Linked DNA regions of Oryctolagus cuniculus. The protein of the gene in region 4 interacts with the protein of the main gene of each other region in a biochemical or structural test. Links are inferred from orthologs where the notes say so. Each region holds a gene or a part of one and is shown on either strand. Other genes may lie near its edges. The genes, in order: RNF41, PARK7, UBE2G1, PRKN, SNCAIP, MTOR and UBE2Z.

Region 1 (3,155 bases), on a different chromosome or scaffold from region 4:
AGGTCAGTCTCTGTGTGTACAGGACTCCAGAACTGACAGGGACCTTGGACTTTACTGTTTGCTTTGCTTGTTTACGCTGATTTTAGATCCCTTTCCTGGACTGCCACTCTGCCTTCTCAGCTCTGGGTCACAAGCTACCTGAAGATAAGGACAGTGTCTACTATTTCTGCTTGGCCCTCCTAGCCCTCGATAGCCTTTCATACGGGGCTTCGTGAGGGTGGGTACTCAGCTACTTCCAGATAAACTCCATCCTTGGGCAGACCCCCTTCCATCCACCCAAATGAATCAGAATCCTGCACTGGAGCTCAGGGCTATCGTCCTCTCCTCTGTCCCTGTCCTTCATCCCAACACCCGATCAGTGGTGGCCCCAGCCCGGCTCCCTTACTGCCATTTCCTGGCTGGGGTGTGACACTCACTCTAGGATCTCATTGTATTCAATTGTCTCCTCCAGGTTCTGAAGGTTGGGGTTGACACTGCGGATGGCACGCATGTATGCCTTTAGCAGCTGGATGTCTCGCTTCTGTTGGAGGCAAGAAGAACCAAGGATGATCGTTACGGCAGACAACAGGTAAAAGAGAAAAGTTTCTCTGAGTTATGAGAGCAATTCAGAGATATGAGAACAACCAAACGAGAAGCTTCAGCAAGATGAGGACAGGACTCACAGCAGTCTCAACACCTGGCAAGGTGCCTTCACGGAGACGGCACTCAATGAACCTAAGAACGAATGCACGATTGGAGGAAGGGAGGCAAGGGGAGCTCCATTCGGATTCCCTGCTGAGCTGCAGTGTCTGTCCGCTCACCCAGCTCACAGCACAGGCCCTTGTGTTCGTGAATGGGGCTTGCTGCTCCCAGGCAGGTAGTCACGTGCACGTGAAGGACATGTTGCCCCCCCCTTCTCAGAACCCTACCTGCTCTGCCAGCTGGTGTTTGTGTTCAGCTGAAGTCTTCTCCAGCTCGGCGATGCGTGTCTGTTGCTGCTGGACCACGGTGCGCAGGTGCTTAATGCAATTGTGGTTTGGCAGCTCATCTTTGGGCATCTCCAAGCTGCGGCCCAGGTGGGGAAAGAGCATAACAGGTGCAGTCAGTGGGCTGTGTGGCCAAATGGTCTATCCTGCAGCCCAGGATTGCTGAGTGGCCCTTGCCTACCGCAGGGGTCTAGCATTTCTGTCAGGCTGCCTTCACATGCTTCTCCCAGTGCTTCCTGTCTCCTGGCTCGTTTGCTGTCTACTTTCTGTGAACTTTCCTCCTCCAGGACCTGGTGGGTTTTATTTTCTTACATGTTTTTCTTTTCCTTTTCTTCTTCTTCTTTTTTTTTTTTTTTTTTTTTTTTTTTTTACAGGCAGAGTGGATAGTGAGAGAGACAGAAAGAAAGGTCTTCCTTTAGCCGTTGGTTCACCCTCTAATGGCCGCCACGGCTGGCGCACCGCGCCGATCCGAAGGCAGGAGCCAGGTGCTTCTCCTGGTCTCCCATGGGGTGCAGGGCCCAAGAACTTGGGCCATCCTCCACTGCACTCCCAGGCCACAGCAGAGAGCTGGCCTGGAAGAGGGGCAACCGGGAAAGAATCCAGAGCCCCAACCAGGACTAGAACCCGGTGTGCCGGCGCCGCTAGGTGGAGGATTAGCCTATTGAGCCACGGCGCTGGCCTCCTTTTCTTCTTTATTCCCCTTGAATTGTCCTCTCATGCCCATTCGAGCCAGCCCCTTTCTTAAGACGGCCTCCTACTCTGAGAGGGACGGCGCCGTGTGTCCTGCCAGACCTGAGCATGTGTAGCAGAAGGGCAGGCCACGGTGTTTGAGCTACCACCCAGCTCTCTTCTTCCCCTACAGATTCTGCCTACCCACTTATTCCTTCTGAGAAGCCCCAGCTATCAGCAGTTTATCAAATATTTCACACCCCACAGAAAGAAAAAATAGGGCAAAAGGAAATAAGAGAAGGCCAACCTGACACAGAGAAAGTACTGGAATAAAAGGAAAGAATAAAGTGGATCCACCTTCAGTGCTATCGCACAGACTGCTGAATTTCTATCCCCTTTTATTAAAGCAACAGCAAAAACATAGTTGAGAAGCGCAGTGAGAGAGTAAGACCTGGGGCAGGGAGCCAGGGAGGCCAAGAGTGCTGTTTGCATGCACTGGTAAGCAGGGAACCCAGAGACAGAGGTGCAGGCAGGAAGGCCCTTATCCGCTTGGGACACAGGGGAAGGAATCTCACCCGCAGCCCTGTTCACAGGTCACAGGCCGCTTCGGGTTGTGCTCACAGTCGCTGAGGTGAGACATGAGGTTGTCAAGCCGGACAACAGCACTGCAGCCAAACACAGCGTTGTCACAGGCAATCTGCAGCTTTGACAACATGTTCCGCATGATCCGAGGTACTGGGCGCAGGTGGGCGACCGTCACAACGCTACGGTCCACCGGACACGTCTGCTGCTGAGAGAACCACTGGGTGATGCAGGCGTTGCAGAAAGCATGTTCGCAATGAGGCGCCTGGAAGGGAGCACAGGAATCAGCAGGGCTAAGAGCTGCCGTCTGGGCCTCTCAACAGCTACTGCGGTCACAGCCCCCTGGGGGTCACAGAGGTCTACTGTGGCCAAGGCATTGTGGGGCACAGGCTTAAAATGTTTCCTGTGCTCAAGATTGCAAATAGGTTGTATAAAACAAGACAAAGGAGTGAGAAGTTATATAACAATCACAGCTAGAAATAACATCCCAGGACAATAGGAGAGATGACATAAGGCGACTGATTACTAATTATCACCTGGATTGCACACACAATAAATTGCTCAACAAGTCCAGAGGAGGGAAGATCTTTCCAGGCTAGGTCAATCACAGCAGGTTTTTATTTGTCAAGGACAGAAGTTGACACAGGTCTTAAAGGCCGGTTCAGACTACATATGTAGAAAGGACAGGAACAGAGATTTACTGGCAAAAGTTCAATATAAGAAACCAAAAGTTTACAAAAGCCTGGGACCCTGTTGAGAAGGCTGACCTAAGGTGCTGCCCAGAGTCCAAGCAGCCATGCTTACAGAGTGGAAACTGTAACAGGCCTCGGTTGTTTGTGGAATCACATTCTTTCAGTGTCACAAAGACCACCTTTAAGCCTACTTCTCTGAGAAGCAACTCTGAAATGGGCCCCTTGGGTGAGAAGACTCCCTGGCTTC
Region 2 (3,500 bases), on a different chromosome or scaffold from region 4:
AGGGCCTCATAGCGGCCATCTGCGCAGGTACCGTGCCTGGGGGCTGCCCTTCCTGCCCTTCCTTGTGGGGTCTGCTGAGCTGGGGGCACGGAGGTGCTGTCCCCTCAGAAGGGGGCAGCTGTGCGCCACCTCTCTGCCCCGGCGTCCGTTCTGCAGCTCTGCATTTTCCGTGTTTGGTTGACCTCGGAGGAGAGGAAGGCCCTCTGGAATTCAGTAAACAGCTTGTCTTGGCAGGTCTGGCGCCAGGAAGAGTGTGTGCCAGCAGCGTCAGCAGAATCGTCGGCAGAAACAGCAGCTTTGCCCTGTGCTGCCCTGCAGAGGGGAGGCCCGTGCCGCCTCCCGCCACCTCCCTGGCGGTCTCCGACTCTCAGTGGGCTCTGATCTCGGGCACTGTATCGTCGGCCACGTGACTTAGAATAGGCTCGCTCACGCTCCTCTGAGGTCCCCACATCTTTGAAACGTGATGTCTTGCCCTCTGGTGCTGTTTTCAAGCCGGTCTTGCTCCGGTATCGGATAATGTTCCGCCAGCCTGCGTTTTTCCGTAGTGTGACCTCCCCAGGGCCTGCCTTGCTGCAGGTCTCTGAGATGTTTGCCCACATGGCTGGCTGGCTGGAATCGTACGCTGACGTCTTACTTCAGTGCGTAGGCTCTTTAGAAGTCACAGGCGAGGATCCCCGTGACCTTACTGGTCACTGTAGCATTCCCTCTGGGGAGTCAGGTCAGAACAGATGCTTCGAAGATGTTATTGGCCTTTTTCCTTCTCAGAAGTGACAGCAGGGTGTGACAGTGCCGTCCTGTGGGCGTGGCATGCGTGCTAGAGATGTCCCAGGTCTACTGGGTCACGTGACAGGTGGTGATGTCACGTAGCCCAAATGAAGCCAAAGGGCCCCCAGGAGCTGGGGAAGAGGAAGGGAGGATGGGTTTGGCCGGCTTTGTGGCCCGAGGCCGTGGTGCAGGCGCGCGCTGCGTGTCAGCGAGCTGGCCTGGCATCGGCCTCGTCTGGTACTCGTGCTCTCACGGTGTGTTCGTCCTGTTGCACACCCTGACTCTGCGGCAGTGAGGTGAGGGCCGTGGAGGGGAGCAGAGCAGGTGCAACAAGTGCAGGTTTTGGATGAAAAGATGCAAGTTAGGCGCTGATACTGCGTGAGAAAGGTGGACACAGAAGAGAGGCTGTCTTGAAAAGAAGACAGAGGTTTGCTCTGAGTAGGGGCCGGGCGGAGGAGTTGACTGGCTTCAGGTGGGAGCAGGGCCTCAGACACCGGCAGTGGCCAGGTGTCCTTTTCTAAGTCACCACCAGGTGGCGCTGGTGGCTTTCCCCTTGGCTGCCGCGGGGCCTCCTGCTAGTCCTCCCCTCCCCCAGGGCCGCGGTGCTGACTCGGCAGCTTTCTCACCCCGCAGAATTTCTAGTAGTCGGGCTGCTTAGTGTCCCTGAGAGAGAGAGACAGAGAGAAAGGTCTTCCTTCCGTTGGTTCACCCCCCAAATGGCACTGCGCCAATCCGAAGGCAGGAGCCAGGTGCTTCTCCTGGTCTCCCATGGGGTGCAGGGCCCAAGCACTTGGGCCATCCTCCACTGCACTCCCTGGCCACAGCAGAGAGCTGGCCTGGAAGAGGGGCAACCAGGATAGAATCTGGCGCCCCGACCGGGACTAGAACCCGGGGTGCTGACGCCGCAGGCGAAGGATTAGCCTAGTGAGCCGTGGCACCAGCCCTTGCCTCTTTTTCAAAATAGACAGAAGCCCCAGAAGACAGTAATCACGGACTTACACGGCGGGCCAGCCAGCGGGAAGTGCCGGCGTCCGGGAGTGAGGGAGGGTGTGGGGGAGTTCCCCAGCTTCCTCACCCGGAGGGGAGGGAGGGGAGCAGGCCGCTGGAGCCCCGCCCGCTGCCCGCTCTGCTTGCGCTCCCTTTACAGAGGAGACGGGGGCTCTCTTATCCCTCGGCTCTGCCGTGTAAGAATTAGAGGTGCCTCGGGAGTCCGCTCAGGTAGACTGGACAGCGCAGATTTGGTACAATGCAAGTAAGGCCAAAGCATGCCCGGGGCTTTGCAGAAGGTTCCTGGGAGATGTGTGTGATAGAAACACTGCACAGATTTCCAAAACATTTTTGTACCAAAATTATCTTTTAATTCCATTTTTTTTTCATAACCTTTCTGAAGTACCCGCGTGTGTTTGAGGCTTTTGACCTAAGAAGTAAAAATCAGAACTTGGAGTGACACCAGCACCTCGCGTTTGGAGTGACACCAGCACCTCGCGTTAGGTAGAGCGCTTATGTAATCAGGTGCAGTTTGTTTGGTCCGTGTTTACAGCAGCTCTGGCTTGAGCAGCCCGCAGGTGTGTTACATAACCGTTTCCTGGGAATCATGTTGGAAAATGAAAGGTCAGGAGGACCAAGGCGTCAGGTTTGTGGAAGCAAACACAGGCTGTGCGAGGGGACGTCGGCCAGCCCCCTGCCCTCGGCTGTCACAGCAGGCTGCCCTGGAGTCTGCTCCTCTAGGTATGGCTTCGAGAAGAAAGGTGAACGTTTTTTCAAACCTTTAAAGTAAGGGAACAATTAAAAGTAAAAAGCCTTTTTGGTTTTAGTCCTTGTTTGAGCCCATTGAGTATAAATATGCTTGTGATCCTGAGTTGACCGCTTTCGGTGAATAAATGTGGATAAAAATCTCAAGTTGGTGCCTGCATCGTTCAGAGACTTCACTGCAGAGGCGCAGGCTGCCCTCCGCGTGGCTGCTCGCCTGGGTCCCGTGACCTCTCGGACACCGCCAGGCCGTCTCCCCCGGGCGGGGCAGCCTGCTGTCCCTGTAGGAAGCCTGCCGCCGGTGAATTTGGACGGGAGGGTTGGTGGATGTTCATCTGCTACTCCATTTTCTGGTAGAAAAATAGAATTGCAGCCGTGCAGTCTAGAGGTGCGATGGTGTTAGTGTGTCCCTCCTGCTGGGAGCGGTGAGAGGGGAGCGCAGCCGTCCCGGTACTCGCGGTGCGTCGGTGTCCTGCGGTGCGCTCCCGTGGCATCGGGGGGCATTCTCCTGGCTCCGTGGTTGTGGAGGGAGTTGAAGTCTCGCCGGATGTGCCCGGCAGATGGTTTCTTACAAACATACTCTTCAGCTCTCCCGTGGTTCAGAAGCCGCTCTTCTGGGCAGAGCCGCTTGACTCTGAAGATGCTGTGGCTGCTGCAGTTTCTAACGCACGCGTTTTCTGTACCTGCACTTACATCTTGTGTTAATCTTGTATCTCCAGGTCCCACGGCTCTGCTGGCTCATGAGATAGGTTTTGGAAGCAAAGTCACCACACACCCACTTGCTAAAGACAAAATGATGAATGGGAGTAAGTATCTGCTTATAAGTTGATGCACAAAAAGGCTTCTCCTGCGGACTGGGCATTTCCCAGCCATGTCAGCCGTTGGGCAGGGACGGTCCGCGCAGCTGGGGGAGTCTCAGCTCCTCTGCACGCGTGGCCACCAGGGGCTGCGGGGTGGTGTGTTCTGTGCTGGGGGCTGGGGTCGTA
Region 3 (3,979 bases), on a different chromosome or scaffold from region 4:
GGGCTTAGCGGGGAGAGGGGAAGGATAGTGAAGAGGATAGCTTTTTACAATAATTTTAATAGTTACAAAGATGTGTTAAAGGGGCCAATGTTGTGGTGTAGCGGGTAAAGCTGCTGCCTGCAATGCCCACATCCCATATGGGTACTGGTTCGAGTTCAGGCTCCACTTCCAATTCTGTTCCCTGCTAATGGTGTGGGGAGAGCAACGGAGGATGGCCCAAGTGCCTGGGCCCCTGCACCCATGTGGGAGACCTGGAAGAAGCTCCTGGCTCCTGGCTTTGATCTGGCCCAGCCCTGGCTGTTGTGACCATCTTGGGGAATGAACCAGCAGATGGGAGACCTTTCTCTCTCTCTGTCTCTCCCGCTCAACTCTTTCAAATAAATAAATAAATCTTTTTAAAAAAGAAGTGTTAGAATCTGCTTCTCCTGTTGACCTTGGCTGGAGCTCAGAGACTGTGAGCCCTTTAGAGCAGAGGATCAGACCGCATTCCCACACACAGCTTCTCCGTGTCTCCCGTAGTTAAAGTACATGGTTACTACGAATTTAATAAACATTTGCAGAAGGAACAGATAAATCCGAGTGTCATAAGGTATTACTCTTCCTTCTCCATGTCTTTATATAGACTGCGAGAACTGGGAAGAGAACAGACTGCAGGGTGAGGTTGGTTTTCCCAAGCCTTGCATCTCAAACTTTGACAGATGCTTTTTTGGATGTCAGTTTGAATTTTATCTATCAGATTCTGCTATTGTCAACTCATTTTACTCGCGGAGAGCATTCACTACGAGATACAGAACACTTTATTCCAAGGGTGTTTCTGTGCATCCTTTACTTGAATCAGGAACCTATATTAAGTCTATGGCTTAACATGGGGCACACCAGCACCAAGTTCGGCTTTCTAACAATGAGTAATTCGCGGACCATGTATGCAATGCTAGATAGCCTTTGGGTGCTCGCCAACAACTAGACACTAGCCACTTTTCTCGGGGCCCTTCATTCCCACACCACCTGCTTCACCCCCGAGGCGGCGTCCTGACCCTTGGCGACCTCTTCGTCATGGCGTCCGCGGGGCGTCCACCAGCTGAGACTTCAGCTGTCAGCGGGCGTGGACCTTCCCAAGATGGCGGCTGCCAGGGCCCCGGCGCGCAGTGGGCGGGGCCCCGCCGCCGGGGGCGGAGCGGAGAGGCAGAGGGGTCGGGCCAGCGGGCGGGCCGCTTCCGAAGTAGGCAGGCCCAGCGCGCTTGCGCGGAGCGGCCCTGCGCGCCGTGAGGCAGTGGCCGGGGAAGGCACCGGTGGGGCCCGACGGGCGGGTTGAAGGAGGGAAGCGGGCGAGTGAAGTCCCAGTGCGCGCCGCGGCGGCCCGGGTATCCTCCCCTTCCGGGCGTGAGGCGCTGTGAGAAGAGCCGAGCCCAGCGGACTAGCATCGGCAACGAGGCGCCACCACTGCCGCCCCAGCCCGGCCTCCCTCTGCTTCGGCGCTCCGTCCGCGGGGCCCGGGTTCCTCAGCACACCCAGCTCCAGCCGCCCCCAGAGCCTGTCCCCAGCTCTCCGAACGCCCCGGCGGCAGCCTGGGCCCTTGGCGGGGAGGATGACGGAGCTGCAGTCGGCGCTGCTACTGCGAAGACAGCTGGCAGGTGAGCGGGAGGGCGGCGGGCGGCGGGCCTGGCCGCGATCGCGGACAGCCGCTGACGGCACGTCGGCCGCTCCGGCCGGCGGGGACCAGGCCTGAGAGGGGTGGGGAGTCCGCGGCACGGGTCCCAGACGGGCCCGGCACTTCTAGCCCGGGTCTCGGAGGGCATTGGGGGCGGGGACGCGTCCCAGCCCCGGCCCTCGGGCGCCCCGGGGGTCGGAGGGGAGGCTGCCCCCTCCCCCACGGTTCGGTGGGACGTTGCGGGGGAGGGGCTGCGGGCCCCCGGCCGGGCCGAGCCCCCTCGGAGGGGCGGGTCCCGGGCTCAGGTGCGGTCGAGGCCTCCGGACCCTCTCGGGGGGTGGCGGGGGTGGGATGGGGGGAGGCTGGAGCCGCTGGGCCCCGCGCGGTCGCCGTCGCTGGCTCGGGTGTCGGAGCCGGCGGCGGGAGTGGGCGAGCGGAACTGGCCCCCGGCCGGATAGGTGAGGCGCGCAAAACTTCTCCCGTGGCAGCGCCGGGTCGGCGGAGTTGTGGCCGACAACAAAAGCGCCGGCCTCCGCGGCCTGGGCGCTGGCGCGCGGGCGCCCGGGACGCTGGCGGGGTGCGGGACGCCGCCTTGCCTGCCTCCGCCTGGCACGGGCTCGGGCTGCGCCGCCGGGCTGGGGGAGGGTAGGAGCGGGCAGAGGGAAGAGCCGCCCGCTGGCCGGCTCGGGGCTTTGTGCTCGCCGCCACCGCGGCCCTGCGCGGGCCTGCAGACCCCCGGGGCTGCGCCCGCGCGCTCTGGCCCGGGGCGGCGGCCGGCCCTGCTGGCCCGCGGGAGCCTGCGTCCCCCTCCCCCATTGTCCCGGCCTCCGGCCGTTTGCGGCTTCCAGGTTGACTTTTTCGGGGGTTGGCTCCTGCTCTGCTAGGACGGTGTGAGCGGAGCATGCGCGCTGGGGACGGACGTGTGCGGAGTGCGAGGGGGGAGGCGGGTTGGTGGCTTCACAATGCCGCCCCACGTGCTGCCAGATTTAAAGAGAAATGAGCCAGCAGTTAGCCCTGCCGTCGGCCGCGCTGAGTATGTCCTTCTGCGAGCAGGCCATCTTCCCCTCCCCGCCCCGCGGCCGGCAGCCCCCAGCTCCCGCAGAAGCTGACGGCTGGAGGGAAGAAACTTCGCCATAGATTTACTAAGAGTTGGAGGCAGTGGTTAAATTACCTTTGCGGCTTCTTAAGGAAAAGGTTGTCAGGGGCTGTTAGAGATTGTATAATTGGGTTTATTATTAGACCATGAGCAAGCAGGTTTGGACAAGTATTAAAGTTCTAGATGTTCAGGGGGAGTGACTTGGAGGTTCTACTGGCACTGCCCACCAAGAAGAATATGTTAGAATAGCAGTGGAAGAATAACAGCTTGATGTGTTTTATATTTGCAAGCACAGCTTCTGTGTCCTTTCGTTTGTTTTGGAGGAAGGAATTTTTTTTCTGGCCTTCGTAAGAACTCTTTAATCAGACTAAGTTTTATTAATGTGGTGAGCTAGTAAATAGTATTAAAGTACTAAGTTGGTTTTAAAATAGCACTCAACTCTTACATAATGGAAAAGATACACATTTTAAGTGATATAAAAGGAGTTACGCAGTTACTGAGAAAGTAAATTAAGACAAATACGGTGTGAACAGCAGCAATATGTCAAAACTATTTCCAGCCATTTGTGAGCCAACAATAGATTTTGATGTTACTCTATTCCATTTTGCATTCTTCTTAAAACAATAATAATCTCAAATATCGGGAAAACTTCTGAGCGCTCTTTATTGGTGGTTGATTTTCTGTGAGGGCACACTAAAATGTTTTAATGTAGAGGGGAGGGTGGTTTTGTTTATAATTTGTCAAGTTGCTTAGCTTCTGATTAACTTTTGTTAACCTTTTTGATTATAAATAATGAAACTGCTCTTAATTCTTAAGTTTTTGAAGGATTTTAATGAACATGTTCAAAAAGTAATCAAGAGTAGGCCAAGGCACTTTGTTAACTAAATGTAGTTCAAGCTTATTTGGAAAGACCTGATAATTGTTTACTTAAATAAAGGCCTTGTTTCGTTTTAGTAGTGTATTATGGGAGCTTCATGTGGAAACAGGGAAGAATGGTAAAATGTAATCTCTTGAAATCAGAGTGAACTTTTGTAAGATATACTAAATGGTTTAAGAATCTTGAGATGTATTGAACCGAGTAGATAGCAAACCTGTAAGCCATCTTGTCTGCTAGAATTCCAGAACCTACAGTAGTTTTATTTATTGAGCTCTTAGCCTGCCAGTCCGTAAAGATCTTAATCCATTACTTGGAGAATTTTACCCAGTGTATTTTGACTGTAATGAAGAACCTGATT
Region 4 (3,500 bases):
CCTTTAGCATGCAGATTTTACTGGCCTGCTTCCCCAGCAAGCTACTGGCTGTCCTACTAGGTGACGGCACTGTCATAAACCCCCAATTCCCTCAAAAATCACCACTGAGCTGGGATGCCCTGGGAGCAGAGGACACGCAAGGCTCACTCTGCAGTCGCCAGAGGTCTGTTTGAGAGAAAATTTGACAGAACTTTAGGAAAACTGCATGCAAAGCAGCCTTCTGCTGTGCCCAGGCCTTCTCCTTTCCCCACCAGACTCTGGAACTGGTCAAGCGATTCTCAGGAGCTGACTATGGGTCTGAGAGGCACCTGCTCCAGTACACGCGGCGGCAACCCCAAGCGTCCTCCAGGGGTCACACTCGGGTTACGAATCCACACAGCGCAGTGACTGAGCAGCCTGATTGGGCACAATTTATTCGATTCCTTCTTCATTAAGATTCAAACGGAATAAGTAAGGTAGAAATTGAACAGACACAGAAATTGTGCCTTGCTGCTCCTGTAGTCAGTAAACATTTATTCACGGTGCCCAGCTCGCGGGCCGTGCGCTCTCTCCCCCTCACTTACAGCGGTGCTTCCAATCCTTACTGCTTGCCGTTTTAATGCATAATTAAGAAGGTCAGAATTAATGAAGCATTGTGGAGTAAAGTTCAAGGAATCCCCAGGCACTATTTATTCTATTAGATCTCGGGCATGAATGTCAGATTGGCAGCAGAAGCGGCATTGGCAATCGGGCTAGTGGTGTCCTGGGAGCAATCCGCCCGGGGAGACTCACCTGCACTGTTGACTCATCCCCAAGCTCCTTCCCTGCGAAGATCACACGCAACTGGTCAGCTGGAACCCCCTGTCGCTTAGCAACCGCCTCCTTGAGCTGGGAGATGCTGGTGTCAGAATCGACCTCCACTGGGAAACCGTGGCTGGAGTTGAACCTGACGAACACTGAACCACAGAAATGGGAAGAGAAAAGAAAGGCAGTGAGCCTGACTTGAAGCCCTCAAATCGCAGTGACAGCATTTCTGAACTGACTTACCCTCACCTGCCCTTCAACGAATGGCACACATTTTCTTTCACTTAAAACAAAAAAATAATAATGCTACTAATGCTATCTGGAGCAATAGTTTGAGGAAAAATGGAGTTTCCCAGTAGGATTTCCCTTTCATATATTAGTCAGTGACCCGCAAACCAAAATTGCACACTCCCTTTGACATCTATTCTGGGAAAGAGAGGGAGTCAAGCAGAACCCTTGCTTGATTGGAATTGTAAGATTCCCAGGAGTTCGTATAGGAGATTCAGCTCTGACAGCCTGTACAAACTCGCCCGCCATCCATAGGGCCCCTCCTAACAAAAAGAAAAGGCAGTATGCCAGCAGCACTCAAGGAGAAATGGAAAAGGTCCAGGCCACTTCACAGACCACAGTGAAGACCCTCTCGGTGCCGCAGCTGCTGCACAAAACGCTCCACTGGGGCTATGGACACAATCATTCTCCTTTTCTTTTGAAGCGTCTGACAGCACTGCTCTTTCTGCAGCCACTCTTCCCCACCGGGACCACACAGTCTTTTGCCTGCTGTCTTCTCACTTCAGTGGCCACCCCCTTTCAATGCCTCTCAAGCCAGAACTCTCCTTTCCACAACTTCGTGCACCGCTCTAAGTCAGCCTCTCATCAAATCTTTGCTAGATTCTTGCAGTAGCATCCAAACTGGAGTCTTTTTTTTTTAAAAAGATTTTATTTATTTTATTTGAGAGTTAGAGTTGCAGACAGATGGAGAGACAGAGAGAAAGGTCTTCCTTCCGTTGGTTCACCCCCCAAATGGCCGCTACGGCCGGCGCTACACCGATCTGAAGCCTGGAGCCAGGTGCTTCTTCCTGGTCTCCCATGTGCGTGTAGGGACCCAAGCACTTGGGCCATCTTCTACTGCTTTCCCAGGCCACAGCAGAGAGCTGGACTGGAAGAGGGGCAGCCGAGACTAGAACCAGTGCCCATATGGGATGCCGGCGCCACAGCGGAGGATTAACCTACTGTGCCACAGCCCCGGCCCCCAAACGGGAGTCTTGATCCATTCTTCTTCACTTCTGAAAGCCCCCGCACCATGCTACAAGAAGACTTATCAATCCAGAGTTCTGACCATGTCACCTTCTGCTATCAGATCCAGCAAAAAATTGATTTTGCAGATATTAATCCATTTTTTGTTGATATAAAAAAAGACACTTGAAGTTTTTCTTCTCAAGAAAAGAGGTTTATTCAGCTCCACAGTTTGGGAGGCTGCATGTTCAAAATTAGGCAGCTACATCGGTTTGGCCTCTCCGAGGTCCCCGTTGGCTGTCTCACAACATTGTGGACAAGTAGGAAGGAAATGGCTGCACACAAAAGAGGCCAAGCCCAAAAAGAGACCTCATTTTATGGCAACCCACTCTTGTGAGAACTGAGGTTCCACAAGAACTAAGAACTACATGAATCCCTTCCGAGTGTGATGCCTCCAATGGCCTAATTGCCTCCTAACTGGGAACCAAGCCTCCCACACACAGACCAGAGCCTTGGGGACACATTCAGCCAGAGCAGGTCTCCAGTGACATTTATTATGTGAGTCTTACAACACTTGACAGGTTCCAGGTAGAAGCAACATAGCACAGAGGTTCAAATCCATCTATATGCTCCTTTGTGGATTTTGTAGGTTTTGTAGCCTGAATATAAACATACTAACCCTCACTCTTTGAATCTCAGCTCTCTAATATTCTTTTATTTTCTTTAAAATTTATTTTATTTGAAAGGCAGAGTGACAGAGAGAAAAGGAAAGACAGAGAGAGAAACAGATCTTCTATCTACTGGTTTACTCCACATATGGCTGCAATGACAGGTGTTGGGCCAGACCAGAGCTTTCAGGATTAAGCACTGGGGCTACCTTCCACTGATTTCACAGGAGCATTAGCAGGAAGCTGCATATGAAGTGGAGCAGCTGGCACTTGAACCAGCACTCATATAGGATGCTGGTGTTGTAGGCAATGGCTTAACCTGCTGCACCACAACATGGGGCCCCAACTCTAATCTTGAACATATGAACAAACCATGGGGAATGTTATGTGACACATTAAATAAAATTTTGCAGTATTTCCCTAGTAACTTCTGGTAACTTTCCAAATAGTAAATATTTGCATGTGTCTCAGTTATTTTGGGTGTACATTTCATCTTCTTTAAAAGATGATAAACTCAATGCCAGGTAATTTTACTATTATTTCTCTTTTAAATATGGCATAATTGCCAACTTGCTCTCAATTAAAATGAGATGACCCACTTAATAATGATTATAATAAAATAATAATTACAATGCCAATAATCATCAGGTACTTACAATGTGCCCGGTGTTATACCTTAGATCTGGTCAGGTCACCATTATTATCCTGATTTAATAGAATAGTAAATGAGGGCCCAGAGAATTATAATCACCTTCCTAAGGACATCAACAACTTTTTTTAATCAGAATTCACATTCAGTTCAATCTAACTCTAATG
Region 5 (3,500 bases), on a different chromosome or scaffold from region 4:
GACTACGGGGGGAAGTTGGGAGAAATCTCTAAGGTCGAAAGCGAAAGTGAAAGCTAGAACAAACAGATTCAGATGCGGACTGTGGGGAGAGGCCAGGAGAAATGAGGGAGGAGTATTGTTGGAGGAAAGCTTGGGGAAACATACCGGGTAGAGAAAAATGTTAGGGAAATTGAAGCCGCGGGGGGCAGGCCGAGGCGGAAACGAAAGCCACTTTGGGGTTCTCAAGTTAGCCCGGGAATGGGGGGCGAAAAGTTGAAACCAGAAGCTGAAACGTAAGCCAGATTGGGATCCGTCTGATTAGCCCGGGGAGCAAAGGATGGGAAGCCAAACCGTGGGGCGGAGACGTAAGCTGGGTTGAATTCGCCAGGCTAGCCCGGGGAACTTGGATTGAATGCTAGTGGTGGAGACGCAAGCTACGCTGTGTGACTCGCGGAAGCCGCCGCGTGCAGAGAGAGCACGGGGCGTGAATAGATAGGGAACGGGGCTGGCGCGAGGCCGTGGTGCAGACGCGAAGGGCGTAGAGACCGCGGAGTGTGCGCGCGAAGCCGAGCCGCGCAGATGAGAGAGGCGCGGGCTGAAGCGGCTCAGAGCCGGCGAGGCGCCGAGAAGCAGCCTCGGGGCGGAGCCCGCTGGCGGGGCGAGGCGCCCGGGAAGCCGCGCGGAGCCGTGAAGCTGCCGGCAGGGCGAGGCGCCGGGAAGCTGCAGGGATAAGAGAAACAGAAGTTTAGAAGTAAAAGGAGAGAAACAGGAATGCTGGAAGATAGAAGTGGAATGGGAGAAATAGGAATGCCCGGAGATAGAGAAATAGAGAAGTAAGGCCTCCCCACAGCATGGCAATGAGAGAGCTTGGATTCGGTCTGCCTGATTAAGTGAGGCGATGAGCACCTGCGGCGGCTAGCAGCTTATGCGCCGCAGGCCACCGAAGACAGGCACGAATTAACATCAGTAAGGCCTCCCCACAATACAACAATTAGAAGGCTTGGATTCGGTCTGCCTGATTAAGGCGGTAAGCACCAGCAAGCAGCTCGACCAGAGTATGAGCTGCAGGTCACCGAAGATAGGCACGAACCAACACTAATAAGTCTCCCCCACAATACGGCAATGAGAAAGCTTGGATTCGGTCTGCCTGATTAAGGCGGTAAGCGCCAGCAGGCGGCTCGATCAGAGTATGAGCCGCAGGTCACCGAACACAGGCACGCATCAGCGCCTAAAAACCTCCTCACAACATGGCGAAGAGAGGACCCGGATTCGGTTTGCCTGATTGATAGGACTTGTAAGAACCTGTGGCAACTCTAGCAAGCAGAGCAGAGTGTGTGCCATGGGACACCGAAGACAGGCGCGTATCAACGCCAAAAAATAAAAAGAAAGGGGGATCTGTGGGGAGCAAACCGGACTAGACTGAGTTACTGGAATTAAGACTTATTCTATGCATCTGCTCTCCCACAATATGGCGCTGGGAGAGAAGTAAACAGCTTCCGCACAGCTGCCTCCAGTTCAACCAATAAACTGTAGGACTTGCTCCTGATTGGAGGAGAGCAGCGTACTCGGCGTGTGGGCAGCCGAGTTGGGATTGGCGGAGGAGGACTATAAAGGAGGAGAGAGACGGCATGCACCAGGAACATCTAGGGGGAACATCTGAAGGAACACCTGAGCAGCCCCCGAGAAAGCCGGCCGGCGGTGTGCCGCTCCCCTGCGGAAGTGGGGAATGTGGCCAGGGGGAACTGCCCTTCCACGGAGGTGGAAGGGATAGTAGCCAACCCGGGAAGAACCAGCAGCAAACCCGGGGAGGGCCGAGCAGACGAAAGAACAGCGCAGGGTCCTGTGTCGTTCCTCCATGAAGAGGGGGAGCGACAGGGCTGGGTTTCTTTCTTTCTTTTTTTTTTTTTTTTTTTTAACAGGCAGAGTGGACAGTGAGAGAGAGAGAGAGAGACAGAGAGAAAGGTCTTCCTTTGCCGTTGGTTCACCCTCCAATGGCCGCCACGGCTGGCGCACTGTGGCCAGCGCATTGCGCTGATCCGATGGCAGGAGCCAGGTGCTTCTCCTGGTCTCCCATGGGGTGCAGGGACCAAGTACTTGGGCCATCCTCCACTGCCTTCCCGGGCCACAGCAGAGAGCTGGCCTGGAAGAGGGGCAACCGGGACAGAATCCAGCGCCCCGACCGGGACTAGAACCCGGTGTGCCGGCGCCGCAAGGTGGAGGATTAGCCTATTGAGCCGCGGCGCTGGCCTAGGGGCTGGGTTTCATTCCCCACTGCAGGTGTTAAGCTGGCCAGGAACTGCAGAGCTGGCTGGACTGCAGACTACAAAACGCCTGCTTCTACTTGCGCTGTGGTGGGCACCTGGGACACAGCCCCTCCCCGCAACTCTGAGGCAACTGGAGGCTCCCTGGCCTTTGGTTTTCTCACCTCTAGTGAAGTCAGGTCCCATGGGTGTGATGGGTGGACAGCAATGGGGTGTGAATGGAGGGGTTAACACTCAGGAAACAGGGAAACAGGGCAAGGACCAAAGAGAGTGAGAGGGGACAATGGAAAAAGACTTTTTCAGGAGAAAGAAAAATGATTTGGTAAAGTTGTTCAGTCATATTGCCCTATTACAAGACCACTTGTTTTTATAGACCAAGCACGCTGTACTTAATCTCTGTACGGCTTACACTCAGCAGAATCCCACTGCCAAGGTGCCATGATTCTCCTGAATGAGACTCTGATTAGCATCCCAGTGTGTGCCCAGGCTCGCTGCTGTTTGATCCAAGTCTGGAAGCAGCTAAGGGACAATGTAGGTACATCAATGCTGTCTCAGTCTGGGAGCCTAAGCAGAAAAGATTTTTTTGGACACCAACGTCTAGAATCCTTGGGGGAGCCTCTCTAGAAGAGGAGACCTGGAACTGAGTGACAAATCCCCGGGGGTCAGCAGGCATGCCAGCTGTGGGGTGAGCCTCTATCTCCAGACACTCCTCAAACACCCCGGTCCACCTCTTCTGCACAGTGGCCAGGATCAAACAGAAGAGGCTCTGTTCACGTATCTGGCAGGTCCACCACCAGCGAGGAACTGACATCCCCCAAACAGTGAGAGCATTCAGGACCACCTGAGAAACAAGATCGTGCTGGCTCTGGGTTGTTTTTGTCTTAGATTAAGAGCCTTTACTCCGGCAGAATTCATGCAAAGTTGAGATGAAACAACACTCCTCTGTAACTAATTGCTTTCCCCTATTAACCTCCAGACTTCTTATTTAAAAATGCAATGGGACACATCTCTCACCCAAAGCAAGCCACAAGATTAAGCAAGAAGCCAAACAGCTGCATCATCAGTCCGTTCCTAACAAGCGGAGCTGATAAAGACAGTCTTGAGATCAGGAAGGCGCTTGCCACGCAAGCGGCTACTCACCAGGAGCGAGATCTGCCCTTCTCTGACAATGTTCAGGATGCTCTTGACTTTCTTCTGGTGCTCAGTCTTCTCCTCGGGGCCCTGGCAGGTGGGCCAGCTCACGCTGTTGACCTGCTCCTC
Region 6 (4,227 bases), on a different chromosome or scaffold from region 4:
CTGCCACCCACGTGGGAGACCTGGACAGAGTTCTGGGCTCCTGGCTTTGGGCTGGCCCAGCCCTGGCTGTCGCAGGCTTATGGGGAGCAAGTCAGAGGACAGATTTATCTCTTCACCTTTCAACATCAAATGAAAACCGGCTAAGTAAAAGGTGAAATACACCAGTGATGGCACGTCCGGCCCAAACACCCCACGATGACGGGTGCCAGATCCCTGAAGGCTGACCTCGCGGAGCTCCATGGTGACGTAGTGCTGGAGCTCCTTGGCAGCCTTGGCCCTGGTCTCCTCATTCCGGCTCTTCAGGCCACTGGCAAACTGCTGCAGGACGCTCACGTTGCTTGAGGTGGCGGCGGCGGCGGCGGCAGCGGCGGGCCCGGTCCCCAGCATCTTGCCCTGAGGTTCTTTGGAGAAGAGCTCCTTTTATGTTCCAGAGAGCAAACCATGGCAGTAATTTAGGGCCCCAGTTATTCAACGGGGATCTCCACCCAGCCCCTATCAGCTAGTGGACCCTAAAAAGGTGGGGAGACCACACTGAGGAACATTCGCAAAGCCTTGATTCGGGGCCACCGCTGTGGCGTCGTGGGTAAAGCTGCATGCAACTCCCACAGCCCGTATGTGCGCCGGTTGGTGTCCCGGCTGCTCCACTCCCTATCCAGCTCCCTGCCAGTGGCCTGGGAAAAGCTGCGGCAGATGGCCCAAGTGCTTGGGCCGCTGCACCTGCATGGGGGACCCAGAAGAAAGCTCCTGGCTCCTGGCTTTGGATCAGCTCAGCTCTGGCCATTGCAGCCATCTGGGGAGGGAACCGGCGGATGGAGGACCTTTCTGTCTCTCTGTGGCTGCTTTCAAATGAATAAATAAATCTAAAATACACACAAACAACAAGTAAGGGCCACACTGTGACACTGGGTTAAGCCACTGCCCGCGAAGCCCGCGTCACATATGGGAGCACCAGTTCGAGTCACCGCTGCTCCGCTTCCCATTCAGCTCCCCGCAATGCGCCAGGGAAAGCAGCAGCAGATGGCCCCCCACGCAGGAGACCCAGAGAAGTCCCCGCTCCTGGCCTCAGCTTGGCCCAGCCCATGCTGCTGTGGCCATTTTGGGAGTGAACCAGGGGATGGAAGACCTCTCTCTCTCTCTAACTCTGCCTTTCAAATAAATAAAGTCTTTTTTCTAAAAAGAGAAAACTGGAATTAAAAGATAAGTTTACTTAAAAAAAAGGTGAAATCAAAATATGTTCCTTCATCCAATATCCCCCAATATTAGTTTAAAATGTCATCAATGTGAAGAATTATTGATACATTTTCCATTCTTTTTTTTGTTAAGTCTCCAAACTCCAGTGAACATTCACGCCCAGGCAGTCTCGGTGTGCACGGGTCACAGGCACAAGCGGCTGCTCACTGCAGTGGACAGTGCGCTACAGGACACTACCGTGGACAGCCACACTTGCGGGTTCAACCAACTGTGGACTGAAAACCTCCCACACAAGTTGAGCCTGTACTGAACACATACAAACCTTCACCTTGTGACGAGACACGTTCCGGGCATGACTTAACGCACACGGACACAGACACACGCAAGACCACATCCTTTTACAGGAGCAGCTGGTGTATCCTCGCACACGGGGCGTGTCCTAGACCGATCCCCGGGGAACACCAAGGGGCGACTGTGTAAGAGACAGTTAGTCCCGACCACCGATCACTCACTCCTCAACTGCACGACTCCTTCTCTCTGACAACCGGGGGGCAGGGAGGAGGCTACACCAGGCAGTAAAGTGGCCAGGACAGGGCTGAGCCCCCACAGCTGTGATGGAAGTAACATACCCCTAAGTGTGTCCAGATCACTCTAGAAAAACTTGCCAAAATTCTCATTTTTGGAACCAATTTGTGACACGCGGAGGAAGAAACATGGCAATAATTGGCTTTGGAAAGTCTTCAGACACTCCAGTGCCAGAGGGCCGCAAAAGTTAGGGTCGTTCCTTAGGGGCCGGGGAAGCCAAGGATCCCTAAGAAAGCTACCGCACTTGGTGTTGGGGGCAGGGAGAAGACGGGGCCCAGGCACTGCCAAGCGCTGGAAAAGCGAGACCCCGCGCCACCTGCTCCAGGCTGACCTCGGCCTCACTCCTGGAGGCCGGACGTCCCCAGGGTCTTGGGGAGGCTTAAGGAAGTCAAGGTTGCAACCAGGACGGCTGCACCCCGGGACGGAGGCGGGGGAGAGGCAGAGGGGATGCATCCCAGGCAGGGGACTCGGCTGCCGGGAGCGAGTCTCTCATGGGCCTCTAGGGTGGAGCGCACGGCTGACACTGAGGTCGGGGCGCCCCGGAGCAGGGCTCCCCAATTCCCAGGTGGCTACGAAGGGGGACTGGGACGGGCAAAGGAGACCCTACGGCGCCACGCCGGTGCCGGAGCTGACGGGCCGGCCGGCAAGGAGCTGGGACCCCGGCGGGCCCAAAGACCGGAGGGTCTCCTGGGTGTCCTCGGGAGCTGGGCGTTGCCTCGTGGCGTGGAGTGGGGTCAAGGCTAGGGCGGCGTCCAGGTCGTGGGCCGGTACTGAGTGGATCCCACGTCCCGGCCAGGCGGCTTTCCCGGGCACCTCCCTCGGACCAGGCTGGCCGTAGGTCTGGATATTCTGCCGCCTTACAGAGGTCGGTGCCAGGCCACAGACTCACCGCGCGGCTTCGGCCAAGGCCTCAGCAGTCGCCGCCAGCACCGGTACCGCCGCTTCAGGCCCCCAGTCCCACCACCCGCCTTCCCCGCTGTCCTCTACGCCGGGCGGGAGAGTGGGCGGGCTCACAGCCCTGAAGACCAATCGGCAGGCAGAAGAAAAAGATGGACTGGAATACAGGCCAATAGTAATGAAGGAGAAGTGAAGCTTCGGGACCGGCTTCTCAAGAGGGCGGGGACTGTTCAAATAGACAAACCAGGCGGCCAGTGCCAGGCGAAAACAGCATTAGGTTCGCTCGGGAGAACCAATCGCGCGCGAGTTGCCCTCAGTCACTTCCACGCACACATCCGGTGCATCATTACTATGAGTCCCCCGCGCATCGCGGCCGGGGGCGGTGGTTCGTGACCCCGCGCGTGTGCGCGGTGCGGGCGGGTCACCGCAGCCCAAGGCGGGCTTCTCGCTCTCCTGATAAATTTGACAGGCACGTGAGACTGTTCTGAGTTTTCTCACTCTCCCAGAATTGTCTGGCTCGCAAGACCACTCCCGAGAAACCGTAGCTAGGTTTTGACTGAAAAAGTAACATCATCATGAAAAAAAAAAAAACTTTCAAAAATATCGAAAAAAATGGAATTTGTCTCACAATTCTGTTTATTTTAGTACACACTGAAAATTCCTAGATCTCCCGCAATAGGTATCTGATTAATAAACAGGCATATGTGTTACGCAGTCGTTAGTGATGATAGGGTAAATGAATATTTGCTAAGAAGAAAAAGGTTTGCAGTCTGTTACAAAATTACAAATGATACAATATAGTTGCAATATAACCCTTTAAAATTTTTCATATTATATATGTGTGTTTCTGTGGGGGAAATGCGATGGGTTTGGGGCGACGCCTTTTTCCTATATACATTACCAACAATTATGTGTGTAATAAAATATTTATTTATTGAAGGAATGAAAGTTTCCATAAGATTAAACTGCCATAATAAAGGGATGTATAATATTCTGTGGCTAACAAAATGCTTAGGCAGTTTTTTTTTTTTTTGAAAGAGAGAGAGAGGTAGAGACAGAGAGAGAGGTCTTCTATCCGTTGATTCACTCCCCAGATAGCTGTAATGGGCAGAGCTGAACTGAGCTGAAGCCAGGAGCCAGGAGTTTCTTCCGTGTCTCCAATGTGGGTGCAGGGGCCCATAGACTTGGGGCGTTCTCTGCTGCTTTCCCAGGTCATTAGCAGGGAGCTGGATCGGAAGTGGAGCAGCCGGGATTTCAGCACCCCTATGGAATGCCAGCACTGCAGCCCGGGGCTTTAACCCTCTGAGCCACAGCATGGGCCCTAAGAAGCTTTTTTTAAATTATGATTACAACTTTAGGTTGTTGGCTTTTGTGAAATCATTGTTCCTCTAAATTTCACGTTTGTCATTGGTGTTCAGCGTCTATATTGTCAACCATTGCATTTTTCTCCTAGCAATATATTCAGCTCAAGTTGCAAGTGAATTATGTCAATCATGAAAATCCTGCCCCACCTCTGCCCGTTCACTACTTATTTCCTTAGTTTCTGGGTATCCC
Region 7 (3,500 bases), on a different chromosome or scaffold from region 4:
ACCTTTCCCACTATATAGGAAAACCCTGAAGAACAACTATTCACACACACACCCCCCACTGTACACCAATCCCTAGCCTCTGCTACAGGTAGCACAATCTCTACTAAGCAATCTAAGACCCATCAAATATTCCAGAACCTGACGTGAAGGCCTATCAGGTAAGAATTCAGTGGAAAATAACCAATTTAAGAGCAATGGTGGGATCAAAAGCTGTAAACGATGTTAGCAGTCAGTGTGGAAACCTCTGGGCATTCACATGTAAAGGAAGCTTCTTGCTGAACGCCCTCACACATCTGTATGGTTCCACCACCACTGGGTCAACTGTAGAACCAAAACTTTCAAAGGAAACACTCCAACTCTGGTCTAGAAAGCTCATCTGCGCGTGTGCTGTGAACACGGGAGACGGCCTGCTCTCCTGAACGCTGCTCTTGCCTTCTCACGGTTCCTGCTGCCTCCAATTCCAGCAGCTCAGACTGGCTGCCGCTGAGCTCGTCCATTTCCAGCCCAGCACCGTGGTTTCTGAAACCCCGGGGGGCCAAGTAGGGATTTTTAAACTTCTGAGGGGAATCACCACATTCAACATGTCCAGTAACCATGTGAACTACCACTCTGAGATAGGGAGTTTGCAGTTTAAAAACTAAACTGTACCATCTTCCCACGTTATCTTTGTGAAGTCGGATTCCTAGTCACTGCTGTGAGAAAAAACAAACAGCATATGAAAACAGTGGAGAATAGCCGACAGGAGTGGCGAGGTTCAATCTGATTCCAAGATTTTCAAAGTTGTGCATTGTCCAACAGGTACAGACACATCCTTTAAGGAATTATAATTATTTACTAAAGAAGCTGATTAGATCCAGCCACTTCATAAAAGGAACAGTTTGGTATTTTTCACCTGGAGAACTGCAGAAAAATTATAAAACATCATGCATGTGTGAAGCACCAAAACCTGGGAACACTAAGAAGTAAGCACTCCTGAATTTCCAAACAAGGAAAGACCTTAAAATCAGCTCCTCGTTTAGCCAAGTCCATTACCATTACTGCCCACTCCTGAAATCAGGTACATTATTTGTTTGGAAAGGATGGTTTAGAGATTCATTTTTGTTGAAAAGAATATTTATTCAGGTCTATTACAGAAGAATGATAAATTTTAGTGCTACCTTGAGTACTTTAAGAATTATGCTGTTTTAAGCACCAAGATGGAATTTATTTTGAGAATATCACTGCAATTTTTTTCAGTTCTCAAGAACAATTCAGGAAAGCACTTTGGACTAGTGATAGAACTTGGCCTGAGGTACAAATCCAGGGTCCCGCACTGATCAGTGTGTTCTTGTGAAAGTTAATTAACCTGAGTCACTACTGCCTCACTTGAAAATGGGCATGACAACATCTCACAGTAACTTTAGCATGAAAATTAAACAAGAAATTATACATAAAAGGCCGGTGCCGCAGCTCAATAGGCTAATCCTCTATCTTGCAGTGCCGGCACACCGGGTTCTAGACCCAGTCGGGGCGCCGGATTCTTTCCTGGTTGCCCCTCTTCCAGGCCAGCTCTCTGCTGTGGCCTGGGAAGGCAGTGGAGGATGGCCCAAGTGCTTGGGCCCTGCACTCCATGGGAGACCAGGAGAAGCACCTGGCTCCTGCTTTCGGATCAGTGCGGTGCGCCGGCCGCAGCGCGCCAGCCGTGGCGGCCATTGGAGGGTGAACCAACGGCAAAAGGAAGACCTTTCTCTCTGTCTCTCTCTCTCACTATCCACTCTGCCTGTCAAAAAAAAAAAAAACAAAAAAAACAAAAAAAAAAACATAAAAACTTGACAGTGTCCAGCATATCTGCATGACATAAACTTGGAAAATGTGATTTTTTTCCGCCTTCTCTTTGACAGTGTTGACTAAAACATCCCACCCCCAGCTCAGGACTGGCAACTTTGCTCTGCAGGATAATGGCACTTGCCAATTCTGGTAGAGCCGCAGGCTGGGCAGGGTTCTTAAGGGAACACCCCAGACCACAGGTGCTGAAGAACCCACTGGCAGCAACAGCCCCAGAGCAGGCTCAGAATTCATTTCCGAAAGACTCCACTGACTTCCACACTGTAGGTTAATCCAAGCCAATACTTACTAGTGTTACTCTAAACCTTTTAAATTAAACAGGTTATCATCAAGGAGCAGGCATGTCAGCCCTATTTTTCTCCTACAGTGGCAATCAGGATATACAAGAGCTGTACCGGGTCAAAGAAAGATCTCCCAAAACAACTCGCATTCCACACCCGAGAGCTGGGCCCACCCGGCCTTACCTGTTCAAAGCCAGGCTCATTGTGGTAAGGGTTCTCAGTCATCAGGGACTGGATGGAGATGAGCACAGAAGAGATGCTCTGGGCCGGGCTCCAGGCTGGGCCAGTCCACGTACTGCAAACACAGCCGAGGGAAGGGGAAAGGGTCAGGTGGAGAAAGACCAGGGAACATGCCCTGGGCCCGAGCGCAGGCAGGGACTCACCACAAGTGAGTCCTTCCTTCACTAACACCACTCTGGAACTTCCCAGCCTGTCTCATCCTCACTCACCAGCAATCGGTCAGCTGCCTAATCCCGTCACGTGGAAAAGAAAAGGGGCCACGCAAGCAAGAAACTGTGACGGAATTTTCCTTGGGTCCGTAAAGAACAGCCAGGGAAGGTTAGAGATGACACCACCAAGGAATGAGGCAGGCAAACAGCTCCAGGGCTTTAGACGCCAACCTCTGTGGCTCTGAGAGAGCTTACTGGCTACGGGTGGCAATGCAGGTTGTGAGGGGAAAGACAAGCTGAGCACAGAGGCTCAGAGCCATCTGGGGGTGGGGGGGAGCACCCAGTTCTGCATCAAGCATTCTCTGAAGACTACACAAGTCTGCTGGGACAGACAGGCCACAGTGGGTCTGAAAATAATATATGGACAGCATCTTGACTATGAAGAGAAATACCAAAATTGCTCCTCTTTCATAAACCTGAGCCAGCCTTAGGGAGCAGCATCTTGGATAGTAATGGTTATTTTCCTTTAGCTCATGCCTTCCCTAACTGAAGAGATGGCACCAGAGCTGAGCCACGACTGGCTCTGTGTTGACTGGCCCCTGTCCTCTCCCGAGTCAGCAAGCTGTAAGTGGTGACTGCGTCGGAGGTGCATCTGAAGTGCCTCTCAAGCTCCTCTTGCCAGCGTTGCTCTCCCAGGGACCCTACACCTCCTACCCTCTGCATCAAATATTTGGGGGTTCAAGTTAACAGGGTCAATTCTCGTGCAATTTCTTCGGTCAGTCAATCTGCCCAGTACTTTGGCCTGTGTAGGGAGGAAAGGAATGAAGCTGGTACAGCTAACACAATACACTAAGAACATGTGGAAATTCTCTACTCCAAGTCTTCAGGATGCTTCATTTCTACCCAAAACAGTTCTGCCACTTTTACCTGACTACCCGACTCCTCCTGTTCCTACTGTGTGCAGTGTCTGCTTAAGATGGTCTGCACATTGGCCTCATGAGGGAGA

The links.
Region 1: the proteins of PRKN (region 4) and RNF41 form a complex in vitro, tested with the Homo sapiens proteins (2 studies listed by BioGRID, with this or other methods). The link is inferred for Oryctolagus cuniculus from reciprocal best matches to the Homo sapiens genes PRKN and RNF41.
Region 2: the proteins of PRKN (region 4) and PARK7 form a complex in vitro, tested with the Homo sapiens proteins (2 studies listed by BioGRID, with this or other methods). The link is inferred for Oryctolagus cuniculus from reciprocal best matches to the Homo sapiens genes PRKN and PARK7.
Region 3: the proteins of PRKN (region 4) and UBE2G1 form a complex in vitro, tested with the Homo sapiens proteins (5 studies listed by BioGRID). The link is inferred for Oryctolagus cuniculus from reciprocal best matches to the Homo sapiens genes PRKN and UBE2G1.
Region 5: of the proteins of PRKN (region 4) and SNCAIP, one has a biochemical effect on the other in vitro, tested with the Homo sapiens proteins (3 studies listed by BioGRID). The link is inferred for Oryctolagus cuniculus from reciprocal best matches to the Homo sapiens genes PRKN and SNCAIP.
Region 6: of the proteins of PRKN (region 4) and MTOR, one has a biochemical effect on the other in vitro, tested with the Homo sapiens proteins (2 studies listed by BioGRID). The link is inferred for Oryctolagus cuniculus from reciprocal best matches to the Homo sapiens genes PRKN and MTOR.
Region 7: the proteins of PRKN (region 4) and UBE2Z form a complex in vitro, tested with the Homo sapiens proteins (2 studies listed by BioGRID). The link is inferred for Oryctolagus cuniculus from reciprocal best matches to the Homo sapiens genes PRKN and UBE2Z.

Annotation. Positions count from the first base shown.
Region 1 is NC_091442.1:59,005,958-59,009,112, forward strand, and holds part of RNF41 (E3 ubiquitin-protein ligase NRDP1), read right to left. Parts: intron 2,482-3,155; coding exon 2,210-2,481; intron 1,875-2,209; exon of another isoform or gene 1,828-1,874; intron 1,788-1,827; exon of another isoform or gene 1,671-1,787; intron 1,045-1,670; coding exon 909-1,044; intron 569-908; exon of another isoform or gene 521-568; coding exon 417-520; intron 1-416. UniProt on the Homo sapiens protein: Acts as E3 ubiquitin-protein ligase and regulates the degradation of target proteins. Polyubiquitinates MYD88. Negatively regulates MYD88-dependent production of pro-inflammatory cytokines.
Region 2 is NC_091438.1:159,764,181-159,767,680, reverse strand, and holds part of PARK7 (Parkinson disease protein 7), read left to right. Parts: coding exon 1-27; intron 28-3,233; coding exon 3,234-3,320; intron 3,321-3,500. UniProt on the Homo sapiens protein: Multifunctional protein with controversial molecular function which plays an important role in cell protection against oxidative stress and cell death acting as oxidative stress sensor and redox-sensitive chaperone and protease.
Region 3 is NC_091448.1:49,558,710-49,562,688, reverse strand, and holds the start of UBE2G1 (ubiquitin-conjugating enzyme E2 G1), read left to right. Parts: upstream 1-1,179; 5' UTR 1,180-1,585; coding exon 1,586-1,631; intron 1,632-2,021; exon of another isoform or gene 2,022-2,106; intron 2,107-2,659; exon of another isoform or gene 2,660-2,842; intron 2,843-3,979. UniProt on the Homo sapiens protein: Accepts ubiquitin from the E1 complex and catalyzes its covalent attachment to other proteins. In vitro catalyzes 'Lys-48'-, as well as 'Lys-63'-linked polyubiquitination. May be involved in degradation of muscle-specific proteins.
Region 4 is NC_091436.1:6,277,527-6,281,026, reverse strand, and holds part of PRKN (E3 ubiquitin-protein ligase parkin), read right to left. Parts: intron 936-3,500; coding exon 772-935; intron 1-771. UniProt on the Homo sapiens protein: Functions within a multiprotein E3 ubiquitin ligase complex, catalyzing the covalent attachment of ubiquitin moieties onto substrate proteins. Substrates include SYT11 and VDAC1.
Region 5 is NC_091437.1:12,134,091-12,137,590, reverse strand, and holds part of SNCAIP (synphilin-1), read right to left. Parts: coding exon 3,381-3,500; intron 1-3,380. UniProt on the Homo sapiens protein: Isoform 2 inhibits the ubiquitin ligase activity of SIAH1 and inhibits proteasomal degradation of target proteins. Isoform 2 inhibits autoubiquitination and proteasomal degradation of SIAH1, and thereby increases cellular levels of SIAH.
Region 6 is NC_091438.1:157,064,153-157,068,379, reverse strand, and holds the start of MTOR (serine/threonine-protein kinase mTOR), read right to left. Parts: upstream 2,801-4,227; 5' UTR 2,666-2,800; intron 418-2,665; 5' UTR 388-417; coding exon 226-387; intron 1-225. UniProt on the Homo sapiens protein: Serine/threonine protein kinase which is a central regulator of cellular metabolism, growth and survival in response to hormones, growth factors, nutrients, energy and stress signals.
Region 7 is NC_091448.1:25,128,948-25,132,447, reverse strand, and holds part of UBE2Z (ubiquitin-conjugating enzyme E2 Z), read right to left. Parts: intron 2,401-3,500; coding exon 2,289-2,400; intron 1-2,288. UniProt on the Homo sapiens protein: Catalyzes the covalent attachment of ubiquitin to other proteins. Specific substrate for UBA6, not charged with ubiquitin by UBE1. May be involved in apoptosis regulation.